Oryctolagus cuniculus: one gene and its partner. The protein of the gene in region 2 interacts with the protein of the main gene of each other region in a biochemical or structural test. Links are inferred from orthologs where the notes say so. Each region holds a gene or a part of one and is shown on either strand. Other genes may lie near its edges.

Region 1 (3,564 bases), on a different chromosome or scaffold from region 2:
GGTCATAATTATCCAAATCTGCACAATGTGGCTCTTTCCACAGCTGGCCATCTCACCCTGCTGAAGGCCCGTTACCGGACTCAAGAGAACCTGCTGCTGCTCACGCACTGGTGTTTCAACCTGCACAGAACAGCCACGGGCTGTAAAAGCAGGGTCCCCAACAACAAAAACGACATAGACGTGGAATTACATCAAGCTCGGTTTCCTCCTCTGGAAGCCCCAGCAAGCCCTTGAGCTCATCATCCTCTCCACCCATCTTCTCATCTCCTTTCACGGCCGACGGCAATGTCTGAGGTTTTTCACGCAGAGTGTATGCCCTTGTGGAGGCGCCAAATGAGACTGTGGAATCGATGGGAATTTGCTGAGGCTTGTGAGGTTCCAACCGAATGTGACCTAAGAAAGTGCCGTGTGCTGGGAATAACCAAATCAGAAATGTAAGGTGGGAGAAACCAAAAACAGCCCGAGTTTTAGGGGGAAGCGCATCATCTTCAACTCTCTTAGGTCAAGTCCTCCCAGCACATCAGTTCAGTTTGTTTGTTCATAAAAATGCCACAGTCAGGACTATGGTGAGAAAACACAAGCTTTATAAAATGAAAATGGCACTGGATCCACTGCATCCTCTGTCCTATGTTACAGTGAGCCTTGAATCTTTTCAGTGGACTTCTCACACATCTTCAGACCTGCTGTCCCCCCAAGTAACAAATGCCACTGCCTGCTCTCTGCTGCCAGATAGGCGTGGCTCCATTCTGGGTCCAACAGCAGTGGCTCCCACCCAGCGGAAGGTAAACCCCTGCAAGACAGGAGACACGCGCATCACCGTAGTCTGCTCTCTCCAGCCCCAAGTCTAAGGAACATAGGAACTGCTTGTCTGGTGGAAACTGGGTTTAACGCTTGGGCTTTTCCCAGGACAAGAAAGGAGACTGGCTGCAATAGGCCCATTGCCAATGCCAAGGCTGTCAAAACCTTTGCATGTTATAAATGAAAAGCAAAGATGAAGTAAGTACTCGTAAGGCAAGGCTCCAAGTTCTTCATGACGCACACAAGTGGTGTGTTTTGTAGGGACAGAGGAAGAGTCAAAGAGGGCACATGAAGACACTTTAGGACTCCATGCAGTCAACCTGCAATTGAATTTCTATGGATTATTTTTAGCAAAATTTGAAAACTTATTATTTGGAGTAACTTCCTAGAATTAAGATTTATATCATTTGTTGGCAAAACAAATATACCTATTGTAAATAACTAAATTTTGCTCACAAAAAAAAGTATTTTTTAAATGTCCTACCTACATCACTGCTCTACTATTCTAACAGAGCTAACACTAGCTTCTGCTTAAACTGGACCATAATTCATCACGGTCCAATCAATATCTAAATACCCACCGGCCCTGGTTGCTGGGAGCTTTTTTGTTTCTCTATATATACTTATTACTGCCTCTTCAAGCAGGTGCTCCTCAAAGCTCTCTGCTCTCCACAGTCAGTCATCATTAATTTCAGGAAAACAGGAGAATCACAGGAATAGACAAAGACTGATTTTAAAAAACACACTTAAACCTTTTCCTTTGTGAGCAATAAAACATGTTTTTCAAACCAAAGAACCCAAAGAGCATTTTCACACTGCCAAGGGGAACAGGTGAGATGGGAAAAGGTACTTACTACTATTGAGATCTATCAGGAAAACTCTCTTCAGATGCTTGTGGTAGACCAGTGCAGCATGGACCCGAGAGCAAGACTGATGGTCAATGGTAAAGTCACACAAATCAGGGTTTCTCCCAAATAAGTAATATTTCTTCTCATCAATAATCAGTTTCTAAATAAATATTAAATTAAAATATTACTTATATCTTGTTTTAACAGGGTTAACCAAAAACACCTCCAAACAAATAAAGAGGATCTTGAATAAGACAAAATCTTTCGCCACGAAGAGCTCAGGGTAAGTGACCGACCTAATCCATCAGGGGGTTGTCAACCAGTCTCCTCAAATGCAGCTCAGTTGTCCAGCATCTGTATGAAAATAACTTTTCTTGATTCTAACAGATTTAGGTGGCCTGTCCCCAAGAAAGCAATAATTTTTTTTTTTTATTTTTTTTATTTTATTTTTGACAGGCAGAGTGGACAGTGAGAGAGACAGACAGAGAGAAAGGTCTTCCTTTGCCGTTGGTTCACCCTCCAATGGCTGCCGCCGGTGCATCGCGCTGATCCAATGGCAGGAGCCAGGTACTTCTCCTGGTCTCCCATGGGGTGCAGGGCCCAAGCACCTGGGCCATCCTCCACTGCACTCCCTGGCCACAGCAGAGAGCTGGCCTGGAAGAGGGGCAACCGGGACAGAATCCAGCGCCCCGACCAGGACTAGAACCCGGTGTGCCGGCGCCACAAGGTGGAGGATCAGTCCAGTGAGCCGCGGCGCCGGCGTAAGAAAGCAATAATTCTACTAGTGGTTGGCTTCTATCTGCTGGAAATTTAAGGTCTCATTAGATCTGAATTTAAAATTTTTTAAAACTTCTTTATTTTTTATTTGAAAAATAGAGAGAGGGATTTTCCATCCACTGGTTCACTCCCCAAATGCTCACAGTAGCTGAGGCTGAAGCCAGGAGCCACAAACTCAATCCAGGTCTTCCATGTGGGTGGCAGAGACCTAACCGCTTGAGCTATCACCTGCAGCCTCCCAGGGTTCAAATTAGCAGGAAGCTGATATTAGAAGCAGACCTAGGACTTGAACCTAGGCACTCTGAAATGGGATGCCAGCAGCCCAAGCAGTGTCTTAATCACTGCACCAAGCACCCACCCTTGTCTATCAGGAAACAAGATGCACAAAGCATATCTATAAAGCAATAAGACTGCTTTTCAGAAAATACATATTCAAATTAAGGCTATCACTTGGTTGGGAAAGGAATAAGGTATAAACATCTATCTATATTCTAATCATGCTGTCATAGCTCCGAAGTATTTTTGGAACACTGCAAGAACTGGAATTATGTTAGCCAACACTGCATGAACTCCTGAATATAACTTTATTGTCCCATTTCAGTTTTGCCACAAAAAGATTATCCAGAGTTAACACTAAATGAGCATTTACTGTGTCCAAATATGGAACCACCGCACGAGGCAGACTTTCCAGACTGAAGGAAGGTATGGGAAGTAACGTTTAATGAAGATGCCTATTGCTAGGCATTCGAAACATTATCTCCTTAAAACAAGTCTATGAAGCAAGCAGCATCTCTACTGTTAAAGAGAAAAGAACAGAGCCAGAGAGATGCAGTCAGTCACTCAAGGTGGCCTGGCTGGTTAAGTGGGAGGGCAGCTAGGGTTTAAACTCAGACTTGCAACGATAATTGATAATTCTAAACACAGTGCCCTGGACCTGGAACAATTCTAAAAACTCAGCTGCTACTGTGGCACTGGAAAAAAAAAAAAAAAAACAGAACTAAACTACAAAAAATTGTGGAGTAAGAAGGGGCTGACATAGATGTGTTAATGTTTTATTTTCCCAAGTAAAGACATAAAAAAAAAAAAACTTCCATGAAGGGCTGGCACTGTGGCACAGTGAGTAAAGCTGCTGCCTATGATG
Region 2 (4,282 bases):
AGCTGTGAGTTCTTTCTGAATTCAGTTTTTGTACAATATTCTCTACCCCTTCCCTTACTGACTTCCCTAACTATGTCCTAGATCATGAGTCCTTATGGAATTGAGAGGGCCTGTGAATTCAAATAAAAACACACACACAAAAAACTGCATTTTAACTTTCACAGCTCTTAACTGAAATTTAGCACTTCCTTTTATTATATAATACAAACAATATATGTGCTAATGTTACATGATTTTTTTCACCAATGGAAATCAGGTATTTTGAAATCACATTATATTGGTTACAGATATTGAAAAACTTGCTTATACTCATCACTGCCACCAGATCTGTTGCTAGTTCCTGTTATTTAAAGTGCTAATATTACTACACTTAAAATTTATTTTAGAAATATTTTATGCCACACTTTACAATTTCAAAATTCTAACTTTAGATATTGTATTTTATATATTTAAAAATGTTATTCTGAGAAGGCTCCGTAAGATTCATTAAAAGGTCCAAGGCACATACAGTTTCTAGCCAAATGGAGCAACCCAAACAAAGGCTAATCCAATCATTTGGATCTGAATAGCTTTAGAATGAAACAAAGAACACTGGCATTTCTCCTTAAGGGTCTGCAAAAAGAAAATAAGATTTCAATTGACTTCTTCTCCTGAAATTCTCCTAAATAGATTTAACATTTTCATATTTTGATTCGTCAGTATGTGAAATAGCCAGAAGAAACATACTATGGTGATCACAAAATAAGTACTATAAACAAATAACACTTGCTTAATACTTGATATAGGGCAGGTACTCCTCTAAGCACTTTACCTATATTACGTCATTTAATACAATAACTCATAAAGTTAAAAAAAAAAGCTTCTATACCCATTTTAAAGATGAGAAACTGAGGCAGCTAGGTCACATACTTTGCTTAAGGTCAAGCAACCAGTTAGAGTGGGGATTTTAACCTAACATGTGGATCCAGCGTCTGTGCTCCTAACTGCAGCCTAATCTGCCGACAGAATTTTACGAAAACGAAGAAATAAAACTTGGTCTTCAAGACTTGGAATGAAGATAAAAAATGTTAGACCCAATTATGTAGTGAGACTGGGGAGAACAAACAGAAATATACATATAGATATATTTAAAGTAATATCAGACAAACTTTCCAGAAATTTTAAGTGCAAAACCCCATAAGCTGACAATCTCCAAGAAATCTTTCTTCTCTGCAGAAAGCAATCTTTCCCCCACCGTTTCCGTGAAAATCCTGGTCATGACACCATGCCATAAACACGCTTCAGTAGGCATTCACGCTGGGGAATTTAAGGACAGCGTGTGTGAGATACAACATTTATTCCTAAAGCAGGCCAAACTGAGAAATGCTCGCACCAGCTTTCTAAAACACGTTCAAGATTTTTTTTTTTTTTTAGATTCTCATTATTGGATTCGCACAGGACGGGAGCAGACACCAGGCGCTCTTAAACACTCATTCAAACTCCATTAACTCAAAGATCTACCCTTTGCATCCTGAAGATTCTACAGGGGTCAGAGCGACACAGTGCCCGAACTCCTTTGAAAGAGTTCTCGACTGCCCGCTCCTTCCCACTCTTAGGGAAAAAAAAAAAAGAAAATCTAGCACGCCTTTTAAACTACTGGAATCTCAGACCCGCACTCTTCCCTCTATCTCCCAAAGGCCCGAACACTTCCCCACAGGCAGAGGAGAGCTCTCGGACCCATGCTCTCACTTAAGCCACTCTCCTTGGCCAACTTTCTGCCTGCTCTCGGCCGCGGCTCAAAATCCCCGCCAGACACAGGTTCGACTTCGCCCGCACGCCCTCCCCATCCCGGGCACGGGGTGACACCTCTCGCTCTACCCCCTCCCCGCCCCAGCGCCGGCCCCCCCATCCCGCACCCGCAGTTTTTAAAGAATCTAAAAACTCCCACTCCGCAGAGTCCCGTGGCTGCTCCGGGCCGCACTCACATTTTCGTCTCCAGAGAGGTCCGGGTTGCTGTTCTCGTCGCTGCTCAGCTTCTGCTTCTTGGCCGCAGGCATGTCTGTTCCCGCCGGCGCTGTCGACACTTCCCTCTCGGACATATTCCTCCGCCTCCCCCCAGGTTCCTGCCGCCTCGGGCGGGGCCTCCGCCACACCGCCGTCAAGCAAGCCCGTCCGGAGCTTGCCGCAAAGTTGCCACTGCCGCCGCCACCTCCACCGCTCCCCCCAGTGTCGCAAATCGCGCCCAGCCGCCGAGGCGGGCGTGCGTGCGACCCCGCCACACTGCTGAAAAAGGGGCGCGCGCGCGCGCCCTCCTGCGCGGCTTTCTGGCTCCTTCCCTTTCCCGACTCCCGTTTTGCCCTTTTCCCGCCGCCCCCCCGGCAGTTTGCACGGAGATGTAGGATCCGTTGGCTTAAGAGGGTAGTATTTCGTATGTCTCCCGTCCCCACCACCACCTCGAAAAGAACAGGCAGAACTCAAAAGGGATGCTCCGTCACCCCCTTCCTCCTTCCAGAGACGTTTCAGCCGCAATTGGCCCAATCCTTCGATCTCCGACTCGCTGCAAAGGGAGCGAAAGTCTGTGGATGGAGTAGACCACCGGTGTCCCAGGGGACGGGGGAAGCTTTGCTAAGTCACCTCTTGCTTAAGCTCTGCGTGCCAAGAGTCTTTAAACCTGAACTCGGGAGGTGACGACTTCACGAGATTCACGAGATTATGCCAACGTAACTTTTGCTTGAGGATGGGAATTTAAAAACCGTAGACTGAGTCGCACTTGCTTCCCCCATCTGGCAAATGGAAGGCACCCACCTGGAGGTGCGCACGCGCCGAGGCGTATTCTCGCGCTGGGTTGTGGGGGTCCCTCCTCCTCCAGGCCCCTCCTCTTTTCGAAATCTTGTTTGCTGAACCTGGTAGTTTTCTACTGCGTGTGCATAGCCAGGGATGGATTTCAAAGCGCTACCAATCATCGTCTCAGGACGCACCCTAAATTCTTGACGGATGTTTGGTCTGATGAATATTTATTGCAATAATTTTTTTAACCTCAACCGGTTGTGGCCAATATTGGCTAAGGTTTAAGTAGAAGTGTGCTAAAATTACAGACCCTTGAACAGCTACAACTCAAGTGCTCTTTTTAAACAAGGCCCTGAAAAACTCAAAGGCCTATAAATCGGTGGATAGTTCCAACTATGAACCCGTGAGACTTAAGCGACAGGCAAATAACAATACAATTTTAGTACTTCACCAAAATAGTTTCTGTTACTTACATCTGCACTCTTGACAGGTGCAGAATACATTGGTGAGTCTTGTTGATTTGTCAGATGGGTCATCAAGCCGTACAACTGAAGGAAACGCAGCCTCCTTTGTTTTAGAACACAGTTGTGAGTGCTGGTATTTCTGGACCTCAGTGTCCTCATCTGTAAATGCGTGGAAGTGAGAAGGAACCCAGCATACCTTGAGCACCTGCCTGATATGTTTTCTCTTTTGGATCTCGTCGTAAGACACAAGGGATAACCAGTCTAGTGTCGCAGCCATAAAATTGTAGTATACTTGAATTACTTCTGCAAGATGATTTGACAGTGAGAAGATCTGTTTTACTCTCTGCAGATTGCAAGTCATTCCTCCTTTTGAAGTTAGCAGAGAATTCTTGGTTGAGAATGAAAAAAGGAAAGTGAAGCAAAGAGAGGGCAGAGTAAGACATATTTACAATAAAGATTCAGGAAAAATATGGACGCTGAAAAAGTCCAGGTCTTACTAATTGCAGTATTTGTGGAACACTCTCAATGTGCCAGGCACTGCTAAGCACTCCTCAGGTGTGGGGGAGAGATGTGACAGATGAGTCAGCTATGAGAAAGGTAAGATGTGCTTCAGTGTGACACCTTTTTGGGCAAAGACAGATACTCTGTTTTATTGAGAAAGCTGTTTGTGAAATATAACTCTACAAGGAACGGATAATCAGCTAACACATTTCAGATTGCTGCGTGGGTCCAGTGGGATGTGGGAGTCAGCTTCTAGTCATAACATGGAGTAAGTGCTGACCATTTGGATAAAGGGTACATGAAAAGAAAATAACCCAAAGATATTCAGCACTCATGTTATCTGTAACAAAGCAAAAATGTTTTTAAAGAGTCTTATTAAAACTAGGAGGGATTTTTTATATGTTCTGATACGTTTGGGATGGATGAATGATGGAAATTAGTTCATATTCATTATAACTAATGTTAAAGATAAATTATTCTGATACTTCCTTCAGGACTATTTTGAAAGAGACCAAGATTGTAGGGGAGAGAAATTGGGCTCAGCTCCTCCA

Evidence for each region. The genes of interacting proteins can lie anywhere in the genome.
Region 1: the proteins of EED (region 2) and PPP1R8 form a complex in vitro, tested with the Homo sapiens proteins (2 studies listed by BioGRID). The link is inferred for Oryctolagus cuniculus from reciprocal best matches to the Homo sapiens genes EED and PPP1R8.

Annotation. Positions count from the first base shown.
Region 1 is NC_091438.1:143,791,411-143,794,974, forward strand, and holds part of PPP1R8 (nuclear inhibitor of protein phosphatase 1), read right to left. Parts: intron 1,807-3,564; coding exon 1,653-1,806; intron 412-1,652; coding exon 191-411; intron 1-190. UniProt on the Homo sapiens protein: Inhibitor subunit of the major nuclear protein phosphatase-1 (PP-1). It has RNA-binding activity but does not cleave RNA and may target PP-1 to RNA-associated substrates. May also be involved in pre-mRNA splicing.
Region 2 is NC_091432.1:77,386,749-77,391,030, reverse strand, and holds the start of EED (polycomb protein EED), read right to left. Parts: upstream 2,864-4,282; 5' UTR 2,079-2,863; coding exon 1,965-2,078; intron 1-1,964. UniProt on the Homo sapiens protein: Polycomb group (PcG) protein. Component of the PRC2/EED-EZH2 complex, which methylates 'Lys-9' and 'Lys-27' of histone H3, leading to transcriptional repression of the affected target gene.